7 linked regions of the Oryzias latipes genome follow. The protein of the gene in region 1 purifies or fractionates together with the protein of each later gene. This does not show direct contact. Links are inferred from orthologs where the notes say so. Each region holds a gene or a part of one and is shown in the gene's direction. Other genes may lie near its edges. The genes, in order: stx8, stx12, vamp4, vti1a, vamp3, napa and vesicle-associated membrane protein 8-like.

What was found.
Region 2: the proteins of stx8 (region 1) and stx12 purify together in Homo sapiens (affinity purification with mass spectrometry; 3 studies listed by BioGRID and IntAct, counting the BioPlex papers as one, with this or other methods). This does not show direct contact. The link is inferred for Oryzias latipes from reciprocal best matches to the Homo sapiens genes STX8 and STX12.
Region 3: the proteins of stx8 (region 1) and vamp4 purify together in Homo sapiens (co-immunoprecipitation; 3 studies listed by BioGRID and IntAct, counting the BioPlex papers as one, with this or other methods). This does not show direct contact. The link is inferred for Oryzias latipes from reciprocal best matches to the Homo sapiens genes STX8 and VAMP4.
Region 4: the proteins of stx8 (region 1) and vti1a purify together in Homo sapiens (affinity purification with mass spectrometry; 3 studies listed by BioGRID and IntAct, with this or other methods). This does not show direct contact. The link is inferred for Oryzias latipes from reciprocal best matches to the Homo sapiens genes STX8 and VTI1A.
Region 5: the proteins of stx8 (region 1) and vamp3 purify together in Homo sapiens (co-immunoprecipitation; 3 studies listed by BioGRID and IntAct, with this or other methods). This does not show direct contact. The link is inferred for Oryzias latipes from reciprocal best matches to the Homo sapiens genes STX8 and VAMP3.
Region 6: the proteins of stx8 (region 1) and napa purify together in Homo sapiens (affinity purification with mass spectrometry; 4 studies listed by BioGRID and IntAct, with this or other methods). This does not show direct contact. The link is inferred for Oryzias latipes from reciprocal best matches to the Homo sapiens genes STX8 and NAPA.
Region 7: the proteins of stx8 (region 1) and vesicle-associated membrane protein 8-like purify together in Homo sapiens (co-immunoprecipitation; 5 studies listed by BioGRID and IntAct, with this or other methods). This does not show direct contact. The link is inferred for Oryzias latipes from reciprocal best matches to the Homo sapiens genes STX8 and VAMP8.

The regions. Positions count from the first base shown.
Region 1 is NC_019859.2:9,119,155-9,123,386, reverse strand, and holds the start of stx8 (syntaxin-8), read left to right. Parts: upstream 1-1,400; 5' UTR 1,401-1,507; coding exon 1,508-1,524; intron 1,525-2,465; coding exon 2,466-2,565; intron 2,566-2,666; coding exon 2,667-2,761; intron 2,762-3,210; coding exon 3,211-3,321; intron 3,322-4,232. UniProt on the Homo sapiens protein: Vesicle trafficking protein that functions in the early secretory pathway, possibly by mediating retrograde transport from cis-Golgi membranes to the ER.
Region 2 is NC_019869.2:17,750,768-17,755,032, reverse strand, and holds the start of stx12 (syntaxin-12), read left to right. Parts: upstream 1-1,364; 5' UTR 1,365-1,480; exon of another isoform or gene 1,481-1,497; intron 1,498-2,043; 5' UTR 2,044-2,082; coding exon 2,083-2,179; intron 2,180-2,624; coding exon 2,625-2,694; intron 2,695-3,493; coding exon 3,494-3,593; intron 3,594-4,052; coding exon 4,053-4,190; intron 4,191-4,265. UniProt on the Homo sapiens protein: SNARE promoting fusion of transport vesicles with target membranes. Together with SNARE STX6, promotes movement of vesicles from endosomes to the cell membrane, and may therefore function in the endocytic recycling pathway.
Region 3 is NC_019862.2:3,865,028-3,869,328, forward strand, and holds the start of vamp4 (vesicle-associated membrane protein 4), read left to right. Parts: upstream 1-1,454; 5' UTR 1,455-4,301. UniProt on the Homo sapiens protein: Involved in the pathway that functions to remove an inhibitor (probably synaptotagmin-4) of calcium-triggered exocytosis during the maturation of secretory granules.
Region 4 is NC_019877.2:9,985,614-9,989,769, reverse strand, and holds the start of vti1a (vesicle transport through interaction with t-SNAREs homolog 1A), read left to right. Parts: upstream 1-1,337; 5' UTR 1,338-1,441; coding exon 1,442-1,535; intron 1,536-4,156. Other genes in the region: palmitoyltransferase ZDHHC6, read right to left, coding at 1-169. UniProt on the Homo sapiens protein: V-SNARE that mediates vesicle transport pathways through interactions with t-SNAREs on the target membrane. These interactions are proposed to mediate aspects of the specificity of vesicle trafficking and to promote fusion of the lipid bilayers.
Region 5 is NC_019863.2:28,591,622-28,595,838, forward strand, and holds the start of vamp3 (vesicle-associated membrane protein 3), read left to right. Parts: upstream 1-1,257; 5' UTR 1,258-1,365; coding exon 1,366-1,367; intron 1,368-2,277; exon of another isoform or gene 2,278-2,404; coding exon of another isoform or gene 2,405-2,406; intron 2,407-4,217. UniProt on the Homo sapiens protein: SNARE involved in vesicular transport from the late endosomes to the trans-Golgi network.
Region 6 is NC_019871.2:5,024,897-5,028,615, reverse strand, and holds part of napa (alpha-soluble NSF attachment protein), read left to right. Parts: intron 1-2,418; coding exon 2,419-2,465; intron 2,466-2,577; coding exon 2,578-2,655; intron 2,656-3,719. UniProt on the Homo sapiens protein: Required for vesicular transport between the endoplasmic reticulum and the Golgi apparatus. Together with GNA12 promotes CDH5 localization to plasma membrane.
Region 7 is NC_019867.2:25,800,750-25,804,170, reverse strand, and holds the end of vesicle-associated membrane protein 8-like, read left to right. Parts: intron 1-906; coding exon 907-1,092; 3' UTR 1,093-2,749; downstream 2,750-3,421. UniProt on the Homo sapiens protein: SNAREs, soluble N-ethylmaleimide-sensitive factor-attachment protein receptors, are essential proteins for fusion of cellular membranes.

The DNA.
Region 1 (4,232 bases):
AATAAAAACAGGTGAGACCTACTGTATTTTCCGATTTCTTAATTCCACGAAACTGTGGTGTATGAATTCAAAATGTCAAACTGCTGTATTCCAAGAAGTCTTCCAACCTCTGTTGTCTTTACACATCTCGTGTGTTTTTACTCAAACACGACCACTGTTTGGCTATGAAACATAAAACCTTTACAACCACTTACCTCTCTTGTGGGTCCTACTGATGTGAACTTTAAAAACACTCATGAACAAGACATGCTGTTGATCTGTCGTTTCAGTTTACTCTAAGGAAAACAGAGGTGAGCATAACAAGAGGAGGGTGAAAATAGGTCACTCAGAATTAGACTGACATGTTTGAAGACAATTCTTAGAATATTTTTTTGCTGCTTAGAATTAAAACTTTTTTTTTTTCATCTGGTCTTCTTAAGATGTATAGATTTCCTTTTGCTTTATACATGTGTGATAAAGAAGCGTAAACCACAAAAACGGATATGTAATTTGTGCTTGTGGTCTTTTTTTCAGTATTTGTCCTCTTCAGTTAAATAAATGAGCATTTTCAATTACGCTTTTTTTTAAATAGACAAAATTGAAAATAAAGTTATGTATCTTTTAGCTGCCCTTATTATGTTTATTTTACCATTAATTACACCAAATTATGCAATTGATTTTTGAAAGGCATATTTAAAACAAAAAAAAGTCACAAAGCAAACACATAACTGGATTTTTCTACTTTCATTCTCTTGTTGTAGAATAAAGACAAAATGGCTCAAAAACTAATCTCTTTTTCTCTGTTTTACCAACGTCATGGCTCACGTAAGGACATACAGTTGTGAAAAAATGAACAAAAAGTAATAGTAATAATAAATAATTTTTTCTGTACAACAACCTGATTAAAATGTTTCTTTTTGTTTTCCTTCAGGGTTTTTTGTGAGCCTCAAGAAAAATCTACAGGTGTAAGCTAGTGGAAAACGAGTCAACAGATGGATGTTGGGAAGTGGGATGGGCTTACTCCACACCAACAGTCCCTCCTGTATCTCAGAGACAAATTCTAACAAACTCCTACCGCTCTGCAGAAACTATGTTGTAAAAACAGACACTTATTTTGTGTTTGTTTGTTTGCTTAATTTTGACTAAAAACGGAATAATAATAATCAACAAACATCAGGAAACGCTTTTACAATAGAACAAAAAATGGTCAGAGTGGGATGTTAATACTTTTGTTCAGAATAGGAGAACACATAATCTGATTGATTTAAACGAAATCTGTTTCAGACATCTGAAAATAAACACCGTTTTTTAAATATAAATTACATTTGATACAAACTAATAATTTGTTAAAAAGTCATACCTAAGTGGGGGAGAACATTCATGAATTCCCTTTGCGGCATTATGAGCAGCGCGAACGGATGTAGCACACCGCTTGCCGTAGTCGTGACGTCACAATCAAAACAAGTGACTTTTTGGGATTACGACCTTATTCCGTGGAATTTATTCTTTATATCTAATTGTTGTCACAATGTCTCAAGACCTTTGGTAGGAAATGATATCTGTTCTTAACAAAAGAGTGGATCAGTTCCAGGAAAATGCCGGTTTTTAATCTTTAAAAACTGCTTTGCTAGCAGTTAGCCTTAGTAGCTAGTTCCTTGAAGAGATTAGCCAAAAACAGCCACATAAATATTTAGTAGAAAAGTTATTTTTGTGTTTTAGGAGAAGCATTTTATATAGTAATGTCTGTTTGACTTGATTTTTCTGAGATTTCTTTAAGTTATTAGTTGTTAAACAACGTAATGCTAAGAAAGTCCAAAGATTTAGCTTCAGAAACGGGGAAAACAAACCGGCGAAAGTCGTATACTTTAATGTTACGTTTGAATGTGTTTGTGAAAAGAAAAAACGTCTGCTACACATGGATGTGAAAACTTAGGACAGTATACTTAATTTATGTTCCTCTTCTTAACCTGCTTCCCTGTTTATCTCCAAAAACACCTAATATAAACGGATTCTCTGATGTTTTCATTCCTGATTCCATCGATCTTCTAAAGAGAACGTAAACATATTCAGCTCGGTTTCCTTCAGTTTTGCATCCTGTCTCTTTCTCAGATTCTCTAAATCAACAACATGGCTGCTCTCACCTTCTTCTACACATTTATTTTCATTTTTTCTGTTACTATTCTTGACATTTGGCCTGAATCCTTCCTCCATCCGCTTCAACCTGCTTGCACAGGCTTTCCCACCTCTTTTCCAGATTCTAACTACCTAAAGTCCTCCACCTTCTTCACCTCTCCTCCCTGTAAACCTCTTAATTCCAGCTGAGTAAATAAATGTTTGTTCAAAAGGTTTTTATACCGCTGCTGTTTCCTAAAATCCACTCTGAAAATTGTCAAAATGCTCTAATTTTAGTCCTTCGGATTTGTCTGGCATCGTATGCACTTCTAAAGTGTAGAGACTTGCATTTAATGAAGTCTTTTCATTTGTAGGTTACAGAATTATGATGCCACGTGCCGTCTAGCACAGGAAATAGCAGAAAACATTCATGAGAGGAACAGACAGCAGAGAACAGGGGGAAACCCTTCTAAGGTATGGTCCTGGATATTCATATTCAATGAAAATTAAACCTGTGATTTGCCTAATTGTATACAAAAGTGTTTTGTTTTTTTTGCATTTGTTTGTTTCTCCAGATAAACATGACATTACGGGCTTCACTCCAGAAACTGAAGCAGAATAACGCCCAGCTTAAAGACAGCTTGTTGCGAACATCTTCATCTCGGCGAATGTATCCTTTCCAATTACAATACCCAAGCACAGAGAGTCATGGGACTTGCATTAGAATCATTCCTGGAGTGTTTTCTCAGCTTGCAGTAACAGTGGAATTCCTACAGAGGGCGGTAGAGTTATGCAAAAGAAGGAAACATCCTTTATTTGCAATATAGTATCCTCTTGACTAGCAATGTAAATTCGTCCTCTGTAGGGGACATTCTAAAATGGAACATCTCCCAACCAAAGCAAATTACTGACTTCTTGTGGTATCTACAGAGGTCATTTAGGACCTTTCAATAATACCAAATGTGAAGGGATGGGGCTCTGGGAACTGTAGTTTTAGTGGATTTAAAAGATTGTTTAACTGGACTTTTTTTTTCCTTCTCTCTGATAGACAGGAGGACATAGACAATGCTCTAATAAATGAATATTATAATAAATTGTTTCTTAACAAGCTCAAATCAGAATGCAGGCAGAAGCTGACAGAAGACAGAACCTTGTTGATGACCTGCTAACCAGAGAAAAGCAGCTGAATGCAAGTTTCAGAGGAGACGTCACAGAGCCTGAGACTACCAGGTATTACCATACAGAGAATTTATCTACAGTCTTTCAAAAATCTAATCTCTATTGTTTATAATAACTAAGATAGAAACTGGAAGTTTTCTCAAATCTTTGCATCATTAGGTGCAGAATGTTTTTTAAAATCTTCCTCAGTAAGTGTCTTAAAGGCCAAGTTGAGCATCAGCCCCCTTGATTCTTCTTCCTGCCTTCTTCTTTCTTAGAGGATCACTTATTTAATTACTATATCGAGGTCTACGGCTGCCTAATTAAAATGAAGGAATTCTCTTCTGCTTGTATTTGTTTTTAACCAAAGGGGTCACAAGCCCTATTCTTTAATGAAATGTTGCTGGTCACCATCTTCCTTTCAGTCTTTTCGACCCATGTGCTTTGATATCTCCACGTGTCACTTAGAAGAAAGACTTCCTTCCTGCCATTTTGACAGCTTTGTTTTGCATCTGCTCTGATTGCTTTGCGCTTAGAAATGTCACTTAAAGACGTTTCAAAATGTCAACCTTGTAAAAGTTAGGATACCATTATATACATTTTTTATATTTTTAATTTCTTTATGGTTGTAAATATTACGTTTGTTTAGTTTTAGAAAAAAAATGTGCATGAACATTTTTTCTCAACGGGTAAACCCGGCTGCTGCCATCTGAAATTTTCCTAGGGGCCACTGCGGGCCCCATACAGGTTTGCCTATTTTTGGCCTGCAGACACCCGTATCCACCTGTAAGGGAAGTTCAGACTACGGCATTTGCTAACACATCAAGCTGTGTAGTGATTTAGTAAAGGTTCTGAATGAATCAACAGTACAGTTAACCAAATTATCACTGTCCTCTATTCAAATCTGCTCCAAAAATGTAATCGATTGATCTGCGAAGAAACTCCTGACACCTCCTCTGAGCAACTGTAACCTCTTAGGACGT
Region 2 (4,265 bases), on another chromosome or scaffold:
AAAATGCGGAAGTGTGAAAAAGGTCTATTACCACAGGCACCACTGTCACCTTCACTTTCCAGGCTTTCTCCAGTTCTTCTCTGAGTCTCTGGTATTTCTCCAGTTTCTCATGTTCCTTCTTCCTGATGTTCCCATCACTTGGCACTGCCACATCCACCACAACGGCTTTCCTCTGTTCTTTATCCACCACTACAATGTCTGGTTGGTTCGCCATTACCATCCTGTCAGTCAGTATCTGGAAGTCCCACAGGATCTTTGCCCTTTCATTCTCTATCACCTTCAGAGGTGTTTCTCTTTTTGACTTTGAGGTTTCCAGTTCATATTCTGCACACGTGTTTCTGTATATTATTCCAGCCACTTGATAATGGCACTCCATGTATGTTTTCCCTTGCAGCATCTTCAACCCCGCAGTTATGGTGTAAATGGCGTACACTTACAGTATATAGCGCTTTTCTACCTACAAGGCCCAAAGCGGTTTACAAACACAGACCCATTCACACACTGGTGGCGGCAGATTTATAACTGTAAACAATAAATCCTTGTTTATTTCTGAATAATGGTGTGTGTTTTGTCTATGACTTGATGCGTACTGATGGAATGCTGTTATCATACAATGGGTTTGTAACTAAATACAAAATTAAGGATTCTAGTAACTGTTATAGCAAAGTCTGTTAAGCAATTACCATACCTTTACTTAATCTTATTCATAACATATTACAATACAATGCAATCAAACCACAATTTCCAGAATTAATGGAAAAGTTAATGATATTCCCCTAAAAGATAAAAAAGGCAACAATAAACTCTAACCTTTAAACAAATAATTTTCTGCAACTTTAGCATAAACAATGAACGCGACTTAGAAACCACCCTAATGGACAAATCTTTTTCTTTATACACAAAGTACCCACTTCCACCTAAAATGAAAGAAACGCATTTTAAAATAATATCTAAAATTTACCCTGTTGGAGATTTTTTACATAAAAGATTCAAATTTCAATCAGAACCACGCATATTCTGTTCATCTGAAACTGAAACGTAGAACATCTCTTTTACAGTTGCAAAAATATTTTGGACTGATATTCACAGTTGGTTGTCACTCAAAGTTTTAAATATTCCCTTTTTTTCCTTATCTGATGTTCTTTTCTATATGAAAAATCTGGACCCGGGAATTTCTTTTTTTTCTATATGCGCATTTATAACGTTTGTTCACCCTTACTTGGTCTGTATGAGCATTTAAAAAAAACAAAACAACAAAAAACAACGTCATACCGAAATGTCACATACCAGGAAGTCGAATGCTCAGTTTTGATTGGTGGCTCACTGGACCCGGGCACGCTACAGCGTTTTGATTGGTGGTTTGGTTTCAAATGCGTGACCTGATTGGTTGTCAGAGGAAGTAGGGCTCGGTGATCTCAGCTGAATCCGGAACCAAGCCCTGATCGAAGGGCGAGAATTTGTTTCTTCAGCTGAATCATATGCAAGTATAAAATAAACGTCAGTTACCTTGTTTCGTAGTTTCAAATGTCGATTAAACGCTATTTTAAATATGCAACGCAACGATTTCATCGTTTATAATCTAACGCTTAGAAGTTAGCACGTTTAGCTAACACGTTAGCATCGTTCCGCTACGTGTTGTTGGGAATGTCACTCTGTGATGTAAAATTCCGTTAGCAGAACGTCGCTCTGGTAACATTGTTGTGGTTATACTATCAATATGTTAACGTTGCGGCTTCATGTTTGTCTATAAGTCAACATCTGCTGGTTAGTTAAATAAGCGTACGGGTCTTATGGTGTGCGTCATGTCAAAAAAAAAAAGCAGCGAAATCCTAACAGTTCTGTATATACTTTACTAGTCTGTATTATAATTTTGTGTGATGATTTTAATAAATGTCAGCTTTTTAGTCTGTGCGTTTTAGTAAGTTTTGAAGCGTGATTGCATTCTCCCTCCGACCTACATTTGGAGTTTTAGATTGAATTATTCATGTTAAATAACAGTTTGTGGCCTTTTTCAAATTTCCTTTTCTTTTTTTGCATGCACAGTTTTAGCTCAACATCAAAGCCAAGCCTTCCGCCTCAAACATGTCCTACGGTAAAGCGGAGTTCCGCCCTGTCCCGAGGGACTTTGGCTCCCTTATTCAGACATGCAGCTCCAACATCCAGAAGATCACACAGAACAGTGAGTCCTCCATTGCTGGGAGCTGAGACTCATTGTTAGTCACTGGCTCAGGAAGAAGTCATGTGAGAATGCTTACAAGAATCGTGATGATCTGCTGCTTAACTCAGGCCTGTTCAGGGGGGGAGATCCAGGTTAAGCAATCACATGGCTAATTCATCACAAGTGCTTCAGGAAAATACACTATTCTAAATGTTCAGGTTTGCTTCCTTTTTGAGATGTGTACAGTAAATAAGTGCTTACATTCTTTGGTACAAAACTCACAAATTAAGTTGCATTTTCTGCTGTCTATACAAGAATGGACACTAAACTATTTCTTAGCTCGTTTGCTTCTGCGGTTTGGATTGGTTTTTGTGTTTTTTTCTGTGTTGTTGTTTGATATCTGTGCACACAGATGATCCCTGAGTAAAGGTTTTGGAGATTAAGATTGTTTCTGTTTTCCTGACAGCCGCACAGATTAAGACCATGGTGAACCAGCAAGGGACAAGGCAAGACTCCAGTGAACTTCACGATCGTCTGTATGTCATCATTTCTTGTTTCATTTTTTTCTACCAGTTTTAATGAAAACACAGGCAGATGGAGGTTTTCTAGCTGGTTAACATCTGATGCAAATATCAGTGTTATCTTTGTTGGTAATAACCTCCTAATGAGGCTGAATATGAGACCAACACTGATGCAATTATTCAATAAGGCACCCTGACTTATGTTTAAGACAATATGAAAAAAAAAACTAACACAGCCAGTTTGCTTTACATGCATTTCTTGCACACACTGTTGTTAATCATATGTATTGAGAAGTAAAACCTTTAAAATTGTTATAATTCAGGCTTTTTGGTGACAAAATTTGGTTTCAGCTACAAAACCTACATCTACTGACCCAGGAGTCCTCCTGCTTTGCACATTTAAGTGATGCTGTGAGACCAGGAAGAGGTTAAATGACTGTTGCTGGTGGTTGTGGAGTAAACTTCAATAATCTCTTTTGTCTTCTGCGACTAAATGAATGTGTCACACTTTTTGATGGCGTGTTTTCACTTTGCAAAGAATTTTAAAATTTTGATTTATTTCAGAGCTGGTAGAAAAGCTCTATTATTTGATTTAAAAAAAAATACTAAGAAAATTAAAAATTTCAAGCTTTATTTGAATTGAATTGACAATAAAAGCAATTTACAGATGCATTAACAGTAGTGCATTACACATTGAGTGTGCTTTAGTGTGGAGCAGAATGGCTGGGACTGTAATAGCCTGAATCTGGGAAGCAGCTTCTTCTTGTGGCTGATGTTCAGTCCTGTTTTTATTGATGCACAGTTTTCTCTGCAGGCAGCAGATCCAGCACTACACTAACCAGCTTGCGAAGGAAACCAACAAACACCTTAAAGAACTAGGCTCTGTCCCTGCGCCTCTATCCCCCTCTGAACAGGTAAGTGGGAGTTTGTTGAAACGTCTGCATGAAGACCAAATCCTGAGTTTTTACCAAAACTGTCTCCCCTGACTGCAGTATTCCAAACACGGTGTGCAGCAGTACTTCAAAGTATTTTTGCAGCAGAAAGGTTTAACTGGAGGGAGATGGTTTGCTGTTGTGACCTCTGAAGTGATCAGATATTAGTAAAAGAAGGCGATTCTTGTAGTTGAGATTTGCTAATTTTTTGTTTTGTAAATTTTAAGCAGGAGATGAAAGCCGAGTTTATGTATAAACGATACAGAGGAAGCAGGGATTTTTCCTGAAAATCTTTAGGAAAAAATAGGAGTTAAGTTACAATGTTGCTGCTTGAATGTTGGAAAGTGATTGTCAGGATTGAACTTTAAAATCTTAACCGTTATCTAAATGCTTTTTTAAAAAGTGTCTCCTAATGTGCTTTGGGTGCTCTGCTCTGTCCAGAGGCAGCAGAAGATTCAGAGAGACCGGCTCATGAGTGATTTCTCTGCGGCGCTCAACAACTTCCAGGCGGTTCAGCGACACGCAGCCGAGAAAGAGCGGGAGTCCATAGCCAGAGCCAGAGCGGGATCCCGCCTCTCAGTGAGTGAGACTCAGGAATGGATTCACACAACACCAGGAAAAGTGTGGAAAACAACCACAATATTCCTTATTTTT
Region 3 (4,301 bases), on another chromosome or scaffold:
GATTTTGTTTATTCAGTTTATTTAGAGGCATTTATCATGGCTACAGGAATTATCAATACGCAACGCAAAGCTCGTTTCTGCATCGTAAAATAGTTTATGCGGTGTTGAGTGATTCAGACGTAGCACTACTGAAAGCCCAGGGCCCTGTTCCAGAAAGCAGGTTATGTGAGCTACCACAGTAAGTTTGAGGCTAAGGAAGTTGATAACCTCAGCTTTCAGTTCCAAAAACAGAGGTATGTTTCAGGGTATGTCAAGTTGCCATGGCAACTCATGCTCTGAACATAACCTGGTCTGGAGCAGGTTTAGTTGAAGGTTAGTTTGTTTTCAGAGAGGTGAAGCAGCATGGCGTGTCCATTTGAAGATGATTTAGTGGATGAAGAAGCTCAGATAATACTTTTTCCACAGTGAAATGGTGATAAGACCACATATGGATGTTGGAAAGATAAACTTTTTTACTTTGATCTAACTTAATTATGTGCTTCAGTTAAGAGAAATCATTTTTAAGTCAGCTTAAAAATAACACGTAGTTATCAGTTATTTTACTTTCATTCAAATTAATTCAATTAAGTAGGTGTAACTTTGGTGCTGCTGTTAGATCGGCACCGCAAGGGATTGTGGGATACCATTCACTTTGCCTGTCTGGACGGATTTGGGTTCAAGTGTGGTTTTTTGACAAAATGTGTTTAGTTGTTTAGCTGTTTTAATGTGTTTTACCAAGTTATTTTACCCTGTTATGTTTAATTCTTTCAGCACCATGAGGGAGAGGGAGGAAGAGGATCACGAGTTTATTTAGAACCTTTACTGCCCAGTGGAGGAATATTTAAGTCAGAGAACAGACTTCATAATGTGGTTCCATTTTGTTTCATTCATTTTATTGTTATAAAAATGAGAAAATCTGCAGCCTCTTAGACATAGGAGAGTTCAAGAATTGCAATAAATTAAGATTGAAAAACATTTAATTAAACTGGAGTAATATGATATTTAGTTAGATAAATATGTAAATTTGAGTTGTAAAAAGAAATATTGAGTTGGATAGACGTAAGAAATTAGGTTGAATAAAGTAATAAGTAATTCATTTAAGTTGGATAAGTTATATATATATATGCGTCACAAGAATAATAGAAATAAGATCAGAAACTATTGCTTTTACTTTGTCCGTTATTTTTCTGCAAGCAGAAACTCTTTTTTTTCCTTTTTTCTTTTGATGATGCAGCCGTGTTACTTTTTTGATGGGTTTATAATCTTCATACGCCGTCATTAATCTCAGACTCCGTCTCACTGAATTGTAGCGCTCTCTTTTTTTCACCACGCGTTTCCATGGTGACTCCGGAAATCGGTGATCCATTGAGAATGTCTTTATGTACTTGCTGTGCACGTGCATTAACCCAGGGTTACCAAGTCGAGCGTAATTACGCTAACTCATATCCGGTCTTTTGGAACCAACATACCCAGAGTAAGCAAGTTCAGGCGGATTTCAGCCAGAGTTCAGGATTAAAGTCAGGGTAGTTTTAATATGCTCCCTGGAATACCCCCCTGGTTATCCATGTCTGGGCGTCCTATTTTTATTTGGTGCACAGGTCGAGACGCCAAGATGGCAGCACGCACTCTGTCTGTCTGTTAGCGTCCTGTGAATGAATGAGTTTATTTTTATTTTTTCTTAACGACTTTTAAGCTATTTTAGATTATAATTTATAGTTGTTTCTGGCCTTTCTGAGAATGGTATTTTGTTTATCAATTACCGTGCTTGTTTTTAGAAAGGCTAGCTCCGAAACTCTGTGAGTCAAAGCCTACTCGATTCATTAAGACCCAAAACCAGGGTTGGTTCACTGATATTCGAAGGAACGCTCCATTTTTTATTTTTATTTTTTTTATTTTTATTTTTTATTTTTTCGACGATCATGAACTGTATGCGGTCATCATGAAGATTATCACCGGGTGATCGTCGCTGGATTCCTGGCGTGACTAACCTTGACGGGCCTTATACTTCATCAATTAAGGGAAGTCCCAATTTACCTTCTATCGAAGCTGGCGCACTATTGTATATATTTTTGCCAAAGTTGAGATGCTGATGCCGTCCTGCCTTCCTAGCACCTGTGTGATATGCCCTATCCGAAGCAGATCCAGGAGCGCTTGGCTGGTTGATGAGCTTGCTATCTTTGTGTGAAGGAAAGTGCTTGATTCAACCCTCGGATCGTGTGATCTATACCCATTTAAAGTTGAACTAAGCTTGGGCAGTAATTTCGCTCTTTTTGCCCGCAGCTTTCAAGCTCCGTGTTCCTTGCTGTTTGTGTGGCACGTCACGGGAGGACGTCTGACAAAAAACAAAACAAAACAAAAAAAAAAAAAAAAAAAAAAAAAACGGCTCTCGGTGTATCCCGAACTGGATTCTGGCAGATATCTGGACTGAAGGCTGCCATGGCCAAAGTTTTAAATACCTTCCTTCAAAGCCCCCGGCAAATAATATCAAGGGCTGAAATATTCTTCCTGCTAACATTGGCCTTATATTCCATCGGAGACTTTGGCATTGCCGTAGCTCTTCGGGAGTCAGATGACTCCCGTCCAGTGAATCCAGTGTGTTGTGTATTTCATGCTGGAACAAAAACTTTTATTCATGAATGTCATAATGCATACGCATCTGTGTGTCTCTCAGACAATCCAAATGAACTGCTGCACCTCAGCTGTGTAATGGTTCTTCAGAAGAATTTTACTATAAACTCTACTATAGCATTCTTAAAAACGTTCCCATCTCTAGGACCTTCAAATGCAGTATGTAAGAAACCACAACTTCAAAGACGCCTCATCTTCTTATTGTTGTTAATCTCCGGGAATATTCCACCAAACCCTGGACCAGATAGTCCTACTTTTAGTACTCCTGAAGACTTCAAATCTCGTAATGGTCTTGGATTCATTCATCTCAATGTAAGGAGTTTATTGCCTAAAATGGATATGATACGCATTTGGGCAATTTCAACTGAAGCAGATGTAATTGTTGTTTCTGAAACATGGTTAAACAAATCAATAACTGACTTTGACATACATATCAATGGTTATAATGTTTTTAGGGCTGATCGTCCCAAAAGGGGGGGAGGTATAGCCATCTATATCAAAACTAAACTTAATGCAAAAGTTCTTCTGCAAACATCAATGGCAAAGAAATTTGAACTTTTAGCTCTTGATCTGGAGATCTCTAATTCTCTGCATATTACCCTAGTTGGTTGCTATAGAGCGCCCTCTGCTGATGGCTCTGCTCTTCCCTCTTTAATGGAACTGCTGTCTTCCTTAAAATACAATGAAGTTGTAATAATTGGAGATTTAAACTGGAACTGGTTGCAAGCTGTTTCTGATGATTTTAAATCTTACTGTGATTCCCTGAACCTCTTTCAATTAGTAAATGATCCTACTCGACCTAACCCCAAATTTCCGGAGAAATCCTCGCTAATTGATTTGATTCTTACAAATTCTCCTTCAAAGTATTCAACTGCTGCTGTATTTGCAAATGATATAAGTGATCACTGTATCATTGCTACATCGAGAAACACAAAAATGCCCAAAACCAAACCACACATTATCATAAAACGCAATGTCAAGCAATTTTGTGAACAATCCTTTTGTCAAGAACTATATGAATTTGACTGGCACACGATGATGGAAATTGATAATGTTGAAAGGGCCTGGAGTTATTTCCATAATGAATTTACAAAAATCCTTGATAGACATGCTCCTATCAGGCACTATAAAGTGAAAGGTCGTAATAATCCGTGGTTTAGCTCAGATTTGGCTAACCAACTACATGAAAGGAATGTAGCATGGGCAAAAGCTAGACATTCTGATAATGCATCTGACTGGCTGGCATTCAGAAAACTACGCAATGCTTGCACTACTGCAATTCGAAATGTGAAATCTGACCATTTTTTGAAAAATACTACAGAAAATTTAAATAATCCCTCAAAGTTTTGGAAGATAGTTAAGTCCCTAAATGAAAATAATTCAGGTATTGAGCTCCCTTCAAGTATAATGAAAAACACTTGTAATATAACAGACAAGACAGAGATGCTTTTATGTTTTAATGAGCATTTTGTTTCCTCTGGATCATTATTTAATTCTATAAAACATTCAGCTGAGTACTCCCTCCCTGTGAATCACGAAGATTTAATACATAATTTCTCATTTTCCCTCTTCACAACTTCAGAAGTCTCAGAAGCCCTTAAACTCCTTGATCCTACTAAATCTGCTGGTCCTGATGATCTGGAACCATATTTTATAAAAGCGGCAGCAGACTCTATCGCACTTCCACTGACCTA
Region 4 (4,156 bases), on another chromosome or scaffold:
TAATGCTGCCTGCAGTGGTGTCTAGAGGCCAGTACCAGATGACTGAGTCTATGATTGCCATGGTTGAACATATAGCAATGACAGAGAGGGCTATGATTGGGCCCCAGTGGCACAATCTTCGAACCTCATGGAGGTTCTCGAATCGAACTAACGCTGAAAGGAAATTCATATTCGTCCCACTGGAAGCTTAAGAAAATGTTCTTTTTTTTTTTTTTTTGTTGGGGACCTGAAATGTTTGGACTCTGCCTGAGTGTGCTACTTGTTTCTTATATCTTGCAAAGTCAGCAGTGCACACATTTTTATTTTCATCTTTCAAGAATCCAACTACATCCCTGGTCTGTGGTCACCCGGCCTTTCCGTGTCCCGGTGTGTCTTGCCCTTGAAGAGCGCAGCATGCTCCCCTCTCAAATCCTGAAGCACAGGAACCTTGTGAGAGTCCGTTTACCCATCTGATGGAGAGAAAGAGAGAAAAAAAGGGGACAAGCATTTATCATAGAGTGCTAAAAGAAAAGGCTATATTTCCTCTTTATATATGCAAAATAGGTGCTATTTATCTGGAAAACAGGTAGTTGTGGGTCACATATTGACTCCTATCTTTATATAGAAATCTATATATTCTAAAGAACGACATAACTATAATGAAAACACTTTTAATGGTCAAATTAATTACGTTTTATTGTTTTTTAAAAACAGAGATATTGGAAGGGTGAAGCTTTGAATGAAAGAAGAAGAAACTCCATGCACAACTAATTAGCTTGTCAAGTCAAGCTTAGCTAGCAAATTCAAAACAACATTTTAAGCTAATTCCAACAAGTTTCTCTATGTATCAGGAATTCATACATTCATACTAACATCTTGCAAAATTGTAATTAGCTTGGCTGTTTAGATAAACATGTTTCGGCTTAAGAGTAGATGCATGCAGCAGGTAGCGAAGAAGTGAGGTTGGTTAGTTAGCTAGCTCGTTCACCATCTTCCACTACCAGCACTGACAGGAAAACCATTTCAAACTCGAAAAAAGAAAGATGAATCAAACATGACACACGAACGTAAAGCTACGTAGAAATAAACACATTGAATAGTGTTTCAGTAAATAAGCTGTCACTTTAAATTAGTTTAACCTTACCACTTGCACTTCGGATTTTTGTTTTCCTCCCCTATGTGCCCTGAGAACCTTCCTAGTTGCGTCTCGGATTGAAAATCCGTCAACTACAAACAGTCAGATCAAATTTAAAACAAAATGAAAAAATATATGTTTTGTTAAATAACACAACAAAGAGATAGGCGTGATAGTTTTCCGAAACCCTCTCTCAGTAGTAGCGCCAACAGAACACCCAGTTCCTAGCCGGACACCTTTTAGTGTGACTCAAGGAAGAAGCTTGTTATTATTTTGAGCTAACTGTCAGCCCTAGAGCTACTTTGCTACCTAAACGTACTGGTCAAAATGTCTTCAGACTTTGAATCCTACGAGCAGGACTTTGGAACGACTACAGCCGAGTTAACAAATAAAATCGGCAGAATTCCCAAACTAAGTGGAGGTAAGACTTTTACCATTTTAGCGTCAATTAATGATGAGCTGGCAGGCTAGCTAGTAGTAGCAAGAAAGCCTCAGTTCTAGTAGAAGGTGTAGCTTTAATTGTTAACTCTAACTTGTTTGAAATCGTTATAAATATATTATGTTGATACATTTACACGTTTATATTCGCCGTGTGACTCAGTTACTGTGCTCTTTCTGTAGGAACAAAAACAAGTGACCGACTACCTGTGGTTATAATAAATTAATGGTAGAGGCCAGTGTCAAATAGAAACATTATGTCAAATTTATATTATAGATTTTAAGATTATAATTTAAAACCAAAGTTGTTCTTTAGCTTTAAGCAACTGGTTTTAAAGTATTAAAATATTTAAGAAAAATACTTCTAGATTCTACAGATGGCAAGAAACTCCTAACCCATCATAGCTGCTGCCTGTTTTCTGTCAACTTACATAATAGTATTAGAACTGTGATAATCTCTATTCTCTTTTACTATTCTAACATCTTAAACACTTTTAAAATTTAACATCATCAATAATTGTGTACTTAAGCTTCATTTAATTGACTAGAAACATATGTACTTTCCTATTTAAAGTACTCAGTTTAATTTATATCCCAGGGTATTTACTCCACTAATTTGAGAATGGGTTTCAACACTACTAAAAATGTCACTAACATAACAAGAGAGCATATGTGTTCAAATGAAAACAAAAGATCCAAAGTGGAACGTGCATTTTAATAATATTTAGTGGTCTACTACCATCAAATAGTCACCATTTTAGACTTTTACATCCAATGTTTGAAAGCACTTCTATCAATTCTTCTTAAGCCTCTATTTCTTATTTATGCATTTAGTTTTTCTTTCCCAACTATTGCTTAACTTCTGTTAACTTACTGTAGTAAATGAAAACCTTTTCACGATAATTTTGAGGATTTAACTGCAAACCAATACCCTTAGCAAATCAAGTTGTTGTGATATGTCATAAGGTTTTTAATCCCAGTGGGATATGATGCAAAAAGACAATGATTATATTGTACACATGCCTCAGTTAGTTCACATAAAACAATCAAACCATATAGTGTTGGAAGTCTGAACCTAATCATATTATTTACTTAAAAAATATGAACTGCACTGTCATGGTAAGCAATAAAAGAGACACTGTACATATTTATCTCACTTTAAACACTTCTTTGTCACATATGTCCCTGCATATCCATGAAGATGAAGACATTTCTACAGCATATTTTAAATTAGTTGCACATCTTTATTATGTCAAAGCACGAGGAGGACATGTGTTGGTCACAATTTGTGTTTCACAGTAAGACCATATTGTATTTGTCACTTTATTTATGGCACTTTGCTTTGTTTGTATAAGAAAGCATTACTACGGCAGTTATATGGATCACCTCACTGAAACACTTATATTGCAGCCTATACGGAATAATATGCAGTTCATATTGTAACTGTCACAAAATAGTGTGAGCAGATTTCAGATAAGTAGCATATAGTATATTATAAGAATGATTAAGTATGAATGAAGAGTGAATGAATAATGGACAAATTGTTAGCGCTTTGAGCACCAAGAAAAAGCACAGATAAATCTAATGAATTATTATTATTATTATAAAAGACATGAATGAATACAAATTTAAGTCTTTAATTGTAAAAAATCTAACAGAACTAAAAAAAAAACTTAAAAAAATTCACCTGAACATGTGAAACAATGTACTGCTGGTTAAATGCGTAATAGCAATAGACCGGTCAGTTTATTTATATGGCGTCTTACTATGACCGTATAAAACAAGGAGCTATTCATTGAAACTCAACACATTAAAACAACAGTTTAAATGATAACACAATTTAAAAGTTAAATAGTAAAATATTTATAATATTGGAAAATAAAAACACAGTCAAAATAAAACACACCAACAGAGCAGCGTCTAATGGGCAAAAGCCTGGCAATAAAAGTTTTCAGAAGCTTTTTATAAATAGACTGTGAGGACGCTTAGCGAGGCATTCCTCACCTTTGGTGCACAGACTGAAAAAGCCCATTCCTCCTTTAACTTTCTCTTGAACTTTTGTACTCTAATCAGAACCCAGTCAGCTGCCATGAGGCACTGACTGGCATGAAGGGAGAGACAGGCTCAAAGAGGCACGGTTAATTAAAAAAAATTAAATGAAACGGAAGAATCTTAAAGTTAACGTCCAAAATGCACTGGCAGCCAGTGAAGGAAAGCTCCAATTGGGGCGACGTGGTCCCTCTTTAGTGTTCTGGACCACTTAAAGAAGCGGAAGGGACAAGAGGCTGACTCTGAAAGTTACAGTAATCCATTTTAGTTTCTGATGAAAGCATGGATTACTGTCTGAAAGTGTAGTCTTGATAAACAGCGTCACCTTCACCAGCTACCTTAAAGAAAAGAAGCTATACAAAGCGAATTTAGCTATCACGTTTAAAATCACTGTCCGTTTCTGACCTAGATTTGTCCCAGACTTTTAAATGTGAATCAGGAGAATCAGATCTACTGTGGAGGGGTCACACGACTCACTTTAAACTGTCTAAAACAAACTAGGACATAGTTAATTATTTGTTTTTCTAGAAAATCCTATAATTGATAATGACACAG
Region 5 (4,217 bases), on another chromosome or scaffold:
TAACCTTTAAAATATGGATAAACATTTGTGTTTAAAATAAAACTAAAACCTCTGCATTGATTTAAAAAAAAACTTCCCCCCCAGAAACCAACTGAAGCTGCAAAGGAAGCTGAGGTTTTTGAAGGATCTGGAACGGAGCCAAAACGCAAACCACCTCAGTTGAGAAACAGCAAATAGACAAACCACAACCTTGCAAATTATTGCAGCTAGCATGTACTCTTGATAAATCAAAGTAGATCTTTCAACAAGTAAAAAAAAATTGTATGTATATATATATATATATATATATATATATATATATATATATATATATATATGTATGAAATGATCAATGTATGAAATGTTATTTTGAAGCAAAAACATTAAGAAACCTGATTGCAAGAATTAGTGTGTGCAATGAGAGCTGGAGATGTCTGCATTTAGTCTGAAAATATAACGCCTTTTTTCAGAATACCTGAAAATAGACTATTATTTTTTCTAACTAAAATAGATTTTAGTTTTTTAAATTTTTTTCTTAATCTAGAGAGACATGATCCATGTCCATTGTTATTGTGTGTACCTGAAACTGATTCAAACACAAGTTATCTCGAACTTCTTTTATTCAAACTTGTGATGTTTTTTCTTAATATCTGTTATTCAATTCACAAGTGATCCATTTAGTTTCTGCGTCTGTCTTCTTTAATGACTATTCTATTTCTCTGAGCATTTTATAAAATAAAATTGCTTTGTGAACAACTACAGGCAGCTAAAGGAATTTTTGTGTGTTTTCCTGTCACATGCTGATCATGAGCTTGTCGTTGCTTTCTCCACACATTACACTCTATGATAACAAACAGGAACACAGAGATTTAATTTTTTATTGAGTATTGAGATTTTGTCTAAACAAGGATACTGGACCTTTTGAGTTCTTGAAATCTGATCTTGGGGTGAGGGGGGAGGGTGTTCCGTACTTCAAAATGTAATTTTTAAGACTGTCTATACTACACTGAATTAAATGTTTTATTTTTATTATTTTTAAATCCAGTAAACAATTACTACTTTACATCTGTTAGGGGTAGAAAGAAGAATGGTTGATCAAATAATTATATTTCTCTGCAAAAGTGTCTGTTTGAACAAGCCCAATAACGTTTTTATGTTATGAATTATTTTTTATCTTTACCACATCTCAGTTTTTGTAACCATACAACCATTTGAAACGGAGTTTCTTGAAATTAGTCAATCTTGAACAATAATTCTCACTGTTTGGTATTTCCCGTTTCCGACGACCCTGAAGGCAGCATTTCAAACGACAGCACTAGCTGTTACGGCGGAGAAATAACTATCGAGAAACAGCGGCGGTGTCGTTAAAACACAATAATCTTCATCATGTAAGTCTATAAACCTGTTTTCGTAGCTTTTGAAATATTTTCAACCTAATGTGTGTCGTGTTACCGTTTATGAAACGCCGAAAAGAGAACGCCCTAAACTTTGCTCCTAGCATGCAACAAGTGCTAAATAGGTTAGCTCGTTTTTTCTCTTCTGAAAGTAATGAAAGCTAAGCTAGCGTTAGCAGTCGCGCGCTGTTGCTACTTAAAAGTCAATTTTTGGGAAAACTTTCATCGTTTTTTTAGGTGGTTAAGAACTTATTAAACTTCTTTTATTCAAACTTGTGATGTTTTTTCTTAATATCTGTTATTCAATTCACAAGTGATCCATTTAGTTTCTGCGTCTGTCTTCTTTAATGACTATTCTATTTCTCTGAGCATTTTATAAAATAAAATTGCTTTGTGAACAACTACAGGCAGCTAAAGGAATTTTTGTGTGTTTTCCTGTCACATGCTGATCATGAGCTTGTCGTTGCTTTCTCCACACATTACACTCTATGATAACAAACAGGAACACAGAGATTTAATTTTTTATTGAGTATTGAGATTTTGTCTAAACAAGGATACTGGACCTTTTGAGTTCTTGAAATCTGATCTTGGGGTGAGGGGGGAGGGTGTTCCGTACTTCAAAATGTAATTTTTAAGACTGTCTATACTACACTGAATTAAATGTTTTATTTTTATTATTTTTAAATCCAGTAAACAATTACTACTTTACATCTGTTAGGGGTAGAAAGAAGAATGGTTGATCAAATAATTATATTTCTCTGCAAAAGTGTCTGTTTGAACAAGCCCAATAACGTTTTTATGTTATGAATTATTTTTTATCTTTACCACATCTCAGTTTTTGTAACCATACAACCATTTGAAACGGAGTTTCTTGAAATTAGTCAATCTTGAACAATAATTCTCACTGTTTGGTATTTCCCGTTTCCGACGACCCTGAAGGCAGCATTTCAAACGACAGCACTAGCTGTTACGGCGGAGAAATAACTATCGAGAAACAGCGGCGGTGTCGTTAAAACACAATAATCTTCATCATGTAAGTCTATAAACCTGTTTTCGTAGCTTTTGAAATATTTTCAACCTAATGTGTGTCGTGTTACCGTTTATGAAACGCCGAAAAGAGAACGCCCTAAACTTTGCTCCTAGCATGCAACAAGTGCTAAATAGGTTAGCTCGTTTTTTCTCTTCTGAAGGTAATGAAAGCTAAGCTAGCGTTAGCAGTCGCGCGCTGTTGCTACTTAAAAGTCAATTTTTGGGAAAACTTTCATCGTTTTTTTTAGGTGGTTAAGAACTTATTTAAAATTTCAAAATATATAATGAAGGACTATCTGTTAAGTACGGTCAAGTTTATGTTTCTGTTGAACCGGTCTGTCTGTCTGAAGTCGGCCTCGCTTCTTCTAGTTAGCTGCCCATATTATATAGTTTAACAACGCAATATCAATATCACATACATTCATAATATGCGGATTACTGCTAGTTTGGAGTGACAACAACACAATATCTTGCTCTCTTTGTTTGTTTGTTTGGTTTTTTAATGTACCATTTTTTATTTTTAATAATATAACATCACCGATGTCTACTATAAAAAGCATAAATATAGGAGCATAATAATTAGGATAAGGTTTGATGAAAGTCAGACTTGTTTGACATATTCATGAACAGAGTTGGGGAACGGTGACTGACATTCAAATTTAATTTAATTTCAGCAGTAGAAATTCTCTGGAAGGAGATTTAACTAAAATACAACTTTTTTTGTAAGTTAATATTAACTTTGGATGATGACCTCAATAATTATTATTATTATTATTTTTTCTATAAAAGATGAAACGGAGCGTTTTTTAAACTGTTGCTTGTTTAGAAAAAACAAATATGAGGGACATATTATTTAAATAATTGTTCGTTTATCTGTTTATTTAACAGGGATATTGTGCATTAAAAAACATCATAAAGCTATTATTCATCAGTAGTCCTTGGACTGGTACCAACCTTGTCTTCCTTAAAACTATGTGAAATTTCCAGCAAAAATACAACATGAACAAAAAGTAGAATTATAGTATATAACAAGCTTGCAAAAGAGTAAAAATGCAATATAAATAAATAAAAAAGAGCAGTATAAACAATATGTAAAAACTAAATACAAATATAATAGAACAGTAGGAATTGATAAACATCTTAAGTGGTAACAATACAATGATAATTTAAAACCAGGAGAGACAATCACAAGCACTATACAATCATAAAAACATTGTTTCTAACTTGTTGACATTTATGATGGCATGGTTTGATTGAAGAAGGTAAACAGGCATTATTTGTGGGAGCGTCTTGAACCAGTTCTTAAGATGTTTTTGAAACAAATTTTGTGACGACAGTTTGATTGAGTTCTATTCCTCTTGTGTCTTTTCCTTTATTTTTGTGTTTACATTTTATTTGTTTGACGACTGTATCTTTTAGATAAACCAGTATATTTTGTCATGAAATAATCCCATATCATTATCAAATCTTGTCTGGTTTTAAGAGCTCTCCCGTGTTTGTGGAGCTTTTTTGTTACTTAAAAGAATAATACCCTTTACACTGATTATTGTTTGTATCTGAACAACCAAGTATTAAAAAGAATATCCTCCCAAAAGATCTCTTTGCTTGTGGAGGTGTTTGCTTTACACTAAACGTTCTTTAAAATGCTGTATTTCTACAAATCACTTAACCAATGTAAATATTTTAAGTACAATTAAACTGTAAAAACCTAATCTTTCACTAAATTATTTCCTGAAGAGATAGTTCTTGCAGCAATGCTCAATTCATGACTGATGTGCTGGTTTCTTAAACACTCATGACCTCAGATTAAAATTC
Region 6 (3,719 bases), on another chromosome or scaffold:
GTCCCTATTAAATAAATAAAAATAGACATCTATTTTTCGTCTACACATTAACTAGATCAACCTCAGGTCCTTGGGTTGCTGTCAAGTGTTTATCAAAAACTTGACATTTCTAGGTTTTACACCTGCAAAAAAAAAAAATATATATATAGAAATGGCTTTGATGTGATACAGAACTTGCTTCCTCGAATATATGACAGGTTGCTTTGAATATGCAAACATTGGAGAACGTGGGCCTTCACGCCTTTCCTAAAACAAAAAAAACAAAAAGAATATGCAGACCAGGGATGATGTTGGGATGATTCAGTTGTTGGTCATATCTGATTCAGAAGGATGCTTTCTGTTGGAACGAAGACTGATTATCAGTGTTCAGCATTTTTAGTGAAGTGATTGATTGATTGTGTTCTTAGAAACAAACTGACTCTATTTGTCAGAATAACCATTCTTGCTCTAATACCTTTTTTTTTTTTAAACATGTTCTTGATAATAATAGGACACTGTACAAAACAAAGTTCAAAAATAAACATTAAAAGTAGGGCTGCACGATATGAGGAAAACTCGCGATATGCGATATTAGTGATCAATATTGCGATGACGATATAACTTGCGATAAATGAACCACTAGCAAAAACAACAAAAACATTTCTATTTCCCTGCAAATGTTTAATTTAAATAAGAGTAAAAATACCTTAAATTATTCTCCAAATGACCCTGATCTAATTAGCAGGGCAACATCTAACGTAAGAGCTCCATCCTATTGGTCAAATGCCTAAAGGGATTTATTCAATTCATTAAATAGTTAAAGTTGCCATAAGATTGTTTTAGCACATTTAAAGTTTACCATTTATTGCAAATTTTCGCTGACTTTTGCGATCTGGATATTGCACAGCTTGAAATCGCGATAACAATAAATTTGCGATTAATTGTGCAGGCCTAATTAAAAGCACAATAAATGGAAATTGGCAACTGATAACCCTTTCTATGGTATTTGTCTGTGTAGTTTATGTTATTCCAAGTAATAAACTATTACTTATTTGATGCTTATTTAGATGCTTCAATAAAAGGAGGAGCCTGCTGGCCCCCACGTCCAACATTTCAAATGTTTGACAGATTTTGTGCAGCGTGCTGCAGACTCCCGATTGGTAGTTGGCTAAAAAATGTGGATTCAGTCCGACTCGGACCAATCACCGCTTACAGACGGCTCCAATATGGCGATCCCCATATTTCGAAAAAATTGACCTAATTTTGTCGGATTTAGAAGTGAACCAACTAGTACGGGCGACGTGGCACTCGCTAGGTCCAGGTTTCAGATGCAGCCACTGATTCTAACACGGTGAACTATGCCACAACAGCTGGAACTTGTCTTCCTGTGGGCCATGGCAAATAATGAGGAAACGACGATGTGAAATTCACACAAACTTAGCTTTTAACCCTCCTATGAGTTCAGGCCTGAGGATCACAAACCCCAAAACATTTTTCCCCTGACGTGAGAGCTTTAAGAAGACATTTCAGTATTTTAAACATTTTTCTACTGGCTGGCTCGATCATCTTTTGATCTATTGTCAAAGCGTTCCCAGTGGGTTATTTTACTTATGATTATGCCGTTTTTAGCCAAAATTATTTCTAGGACATAGTTTCCTTTGAAATTCTTCTCTGACTGTTGGCGTGGAGCAACCCCCTTTCCCGTCACCCGTGACTGAGAGCTTTCTGTTTATACGTTCTTCTGCTATCTGTCAGCCTCTCACACCCTCAACTTAACATGACGAGTGCAACAAAAGTGGCGAGCAATGTTGGAGCCATCCAGCCGTACAGTTTTGATCCAGATTCCAGATCAGACGAGGAAAACAAAGACATTCGTGGATCTATGTGTCTGCAAGTGGATGCATCAGGATGAAGTGGAGCAATATTCAAATGCAATTTTAATCTTAATTTCATTTATATATGTCCTCCTTCATCAGAAAAATGCCACAAGAAACCACAGACTTCAGCTGTTTGTTTCATTTTCTTTTAATATACAGTCTTAAATTGGGATTTTGAGTGTTCTTTAAAAAGGTATTAAAGATCCTTAAATTCTCTTTTGTAAATCTGTAGACTCCCTATTCTAATTCAAAAGGTGGTTTGCAGCAGGAGACGCTCTGCCTGTCCATGTCTGCTGCGATTTGACAGAGTATTCAGATCAACTGAGTGGTTAAACATTTAACCGGTCCCTTAATTTGCGTGCAAAAGCAACACAATAAGAAATGTTATCCCTCTGGACTGAGGAAACTTTTATATTTTCAAGCTTGGCGGTTTAGAAACAGCTTAAAGAGACGGCTCTGGTTTCCTTTTATTTTTCAACATGAGACCATTAAACCCCAGTTTTGTTTTTTTCTTTCCACCAGTTTATATTTTACCTTTTATTTTTGTTTGTTTTCTCCACAGAGGCCATAAACTGCTTAAACCGAGCAATCGAGATTTACACCGACATGGTGAGTTTCAAAGCTGCAAGCTCACTTAAAATGGGAAGAAAAAAAAAAAATCATAGGATGTGCTCCTTTTTTATTTATTTATATTTTTACAGTTGACTTTTTACCATTTTAGGGCCGTTTCACTATTGCAGCAAAGCACCACATCACCATTGCTGAGATTTATGAGACCGAGCTGTTGGACATCGATAAGGTCAGATTACAGAATATGTTTGTTTTATTTCTTAAAAAAGTGTTTGCAAAATAAGTCTGTCTTGACAAACAAGTGTAAGTAAAATAAATAAATACAAATAAAAACATCTGTAGAAACTGTTCCTGGCAACAGAAATATTTCAAGAAATTACCATTAAAGTACCAAGAATTTATTTTAAAGTATAAAATACGTATTTTTTGGAGAATAGGTCATGGTGGGTTTTTTGTGCGTAGTTTGGCTGGAGGTGTGATTTATGTGATATTTTTGAAATGAATAGCAACAACCACTAGAGGGCGCTATAGGCGTGCCAGTACTTGCCACTGATGGAAACGCAGAAGAAGAAGCACCACTCAGTTTTACTCCAGACCAAAGCGACGCAAAGGATGAAAAATTGAACAGATTTAGAGATTTAAAGTGATTTGAAGAGATTAGCAGACTTGTCGGCATGTTTTTTATGATATGGTTGATGAAATATCCATTCTTGGTTAATTAAGAGTCATATATATGTATATAAATATTTGCACATACACTTTTATTTTGCCAAACATATACGAATCGTTGCATTTTATCTTCTAAAAGACGTAAATGTTTAATTTTCTAATTAAATAAATCAAATTTGAAGAGAAAATAAATATTTAAACAACTTTTTCGTTGCGAAATTATTTTTTTTTACATTTTTATTTACCTTTTTCTTCTTTTCAATTGTTCTTTTGATTTACACTCTATTTGAACTCTCCACTGCGGCGTGCAGTTGCCCAGTTTCAGGGTGGACACTCTACCTCCGTGCCGGTGTTTGAACCCTGTATTCACAAGTGTTGCACAGCTTAATGAAACCAGTAGAAATGTTAAACACAGTCCTGTCATCCACACTCTTAGAATTTTTTTTTTTTTTTTTTTTTTTTTAAAGTTGTAAAAATGAAAAGCATCTGGGTTTTACTATTTTCTGCATTTAAAAGATGACTCTTGAAAAAGAAAAATGTTCACCTTAAACCTCTATGCGTTATTGAGCACAACATGAGAGAAATAATGTGAACCTTCGGCTTTAATCATCAAATCAAATCAAA
Region 7 (3,421 bases), on another chromosome or scaffold:
TTTGTAGATAAGCAGTCAAGGCTTCCATGTATTGATGAGGCTAAAAAGGTTTGACGGTAGCTCCTCCCACATGCATCGGGAGCACCAAGTCTAAGCGTGAAGCAGAGGATTTGCCGTTTGTCAAACAGCAGGCAGCAGACGGGAGTTTCGCGTTCGGTGTGAACGCAGCATTAGTCACTACCCTTGACGATATTTCAATCTCCTCAAACCATGCGCACTGCGTAGGGAGCCGGTTAGCGCTGGTCAAGTGATAAGTGGACGCTCCCCGCGTTTAGCCTGACTGTTCGAAATGAGAACATTAGATGCACCTCACTTCTGACTAGATTGCTACGTGAAGGGTTAAAGGGTTAAACCAGGCTGAACTTTGACCAATCAGGGAGTCAGATTTGGTAGAGGCGAATGGAAGACATCTTTGTCATTCAAGGAAGTGTCAACCATTTGAACATTGAGCATGGAGGAGAAATGAATAACTGTGATTTGTGCCCAGATGGAATTCTTTGACTTCAAGTCTTTTATATATTGGAATGAAACTGTGAAAGAATTCTGCTAACTATAGGTGGTGGACATGTGCTGGTAAACAGCACAGGTTCGCTAGTCCAGTGTGAACACCAAGGGCTTAAGATGTATACGTAGCTTGAGACTGGAATTGGGAAAGTAGTTGCTTATTTTCCTCTCTAGCAGTAAATTCTCTCAGGAATCTGATGTTATTTCTTTAGTTTAATCCTAGAATATTGATGGTGCCTGTTCGTCAAAGTGATCTCCATGCATGAGTCGTTCCTTCTTTTAGCTGCTGTCTTCCATCTGTCACATGACCCCACCACCCTAGTTTGAGGTCTTGTACCCGATCCATCAGAAGCATTCCCCTCCTGACTGGCTTTCTTCTCTTCTCCCCCCTCCCTCGCACAGGCTCAGCACTTCAAGCACACGGCACAGAAAGTCGCCCGCTCTTACTGGTGGAAGAACGTCAAGCTGGTGGTGGTGCTGGTGGTCATCGTCCTCGTCATCATCCTCATCATCGTGCTGCTGGCCACCGGCGTCATTCCCACCGGAAACCCCGTGCCTCCCATCGTCACCCCCACCACCAAACCCTGAGCCCACAGCAACACTCGGATAGCTGATACATGGATGAAGCACACACATCCCAGTTGCACACTGTAATGTACAGACTCTTGAAAATTACTCTCCTATGAAGAAATATTTGACACTTTAGTTTCCTCTTAATCCGGTTCTTCTTTGATATCAGCTGCTTGTCACCTTCATCATGTGATAAAGGAGCGTCTCCTAGTTATTTATAGAAGTGAAACGCCTCCTGTTGGCCACGTCAATATTGCATGCAATGTCCAATTATCTAAGACTATTTTATTTTATTTTTTCTGTTACAAACTTCTGTACAAGTTGATCTGTATTAAATTGATAAATATATCTGACGCTGGGCTGAATCGCACATTAGAAGTAAATGTTACCAGTTATATCAGTCATGTTTGTTTTATCCAAAATCCACTACTTTTTTCTCTCTGCTCATCGTTTTTGGAAACGTGGCTACAGAAACAAAGCCCTGGAGTTTGTTACACTCAGATGGTACTTTTCCAACCTTTTGAAGGGGTCAGTGGTGCATTCAGGGCTGAAAGCGCTGAAAGGCAGAATCGTGCAGAAGTGTTTTGTCATTGGATGAGATGTTTACACAAGGTTGTACAATTTGGTATGGTTCTTCATTGCTGTTTTCTTTGATTTTTCTTTCTCTGCCGGTCCCTCTGCCGTTCATGTTACAACACGAAGCCCTTCCTTTGCGGCTTCATGTAGTAAAACCAAAGCCAGCATGAGGATGATGAGAGGCTTTTCCAGCCTATCAGCTGAGAGAAGCCATTTAGATCATGTGCCTTTCGCCCCCTTCTGGTCTAGTCATGCCAGTCACTGCTGGAAAAAGTCAATTTCAACGTATTCTTACTCCCAGGATGCAAGTTTGTGTTTCTCGTCCCGCAGCATTGATTTATGCTTCTACTTAACTGTAAATAGCTGACATTTTCTCCAGGTTCCATAACTAATCAGTGTCTTAATCAAAGTGTTTCTTGAAAAATGTAATGGTTTATTTTTTGCATCAAATCAATTAATATTTTTGTCAGTTTGAGCAGATAATTTACATAGAAATTAATGGTAAAATATTACAGAAGAAATGTTTGTATGTGTTTAGTTTCTTCTGTACGTGCGTCTCTGATAAAGCTGGGCCTCCGGGCCTCCTGGTCGCCGGGCCTCCTGGTCGCCGGGCCTCCTGGTCGCCGGGCCTCCTGGTCGCCGGGCCTCCTGGTCGCCGGGCCTCCTGGTCGCCGGGGCTCCTGGTCGCCGGGCCTCCTGGTCGCCGGGGCTCCTGGTCGCCGGGGCTCCTGGTCGCCGGGGCTCCTGGTCGCCGGGGCTCCTGGTCGCCGGGGCTCCTGGTCGCCGGGGCTCCTGGTCGCCGGGGCTCCTGGTCGCCGGGGCTCCTGGTCGCCGGGGCTCCTGGTCGCCGGGGCTCCTGGTCGCCGGGGCTCCTGGTCGCCGGGGCTCCTGGTCGCCGGGGCTCCTGGTCGCCTGATCTGCAGTCTTTCTCTATTGCATGAGATCTTCCTCTCTTCCCTTCTAGTCTGTTTAAGCTATTTACGACTGCTGCTGTGGTAAGGCGTCATTCTGTCAAGTTTATCTCTTATAGAATTGTCCAGACTTTCTGGTATTTAATGGTTTTATTGGTGGATTCAATAAATAGTATTTATGTCATTCATCCTGTGTCGGTGAGCTTTTCTTCTTTCTGCCTCAAAAGTGCTAAAAAATGCCCTGATTGGTTAATTTAAAAGATTTGAAAGTGAATTTATAAATGTCCAATAAAAGAATAAAGTTCACACCAGTGCTCTTCACTTTTTTCTTTTTGAAACAACTCTATGCAGTTGTAATAAGTTACCTTAAACAACATGTTTAACAAAAGAATAAAAGAACTTTATTTTGACATACATAAAGTTTTGTGATGCTCTAAAACAGGGGTTTACAACCTTTTATGCCAAAATAGCCACTTGGGTTTGTTTCCTAGTGACCAAAACGCAGCAAGAGCGAAAAAGTCACTTTATTATTCAGAAAAGTACATTTTATTTATGATTGTGTGACTATTAAACCATTCACTTAAAAAATGTAGCCTTTATATAATACTTTCTGTTAACATTTTCTATTGATAACAACTTTAGCTTCTACTTTTGACAGCAGCTCATACATGTTCCTTTCAAAATAAAATACGCCTTGTGTCAAATGAGATCCTCGCTGCAGCAGATTTACTTGCAGGTATATACTTTTAGTAACTTTGCCTATAAGCAGCAAGAAGACACTACTGTGCTGCTGAAGATAAGAATATGTATTTTAAAACTATTCCAATTATAACACCTCAGACAATCGATTAAACCTTTAA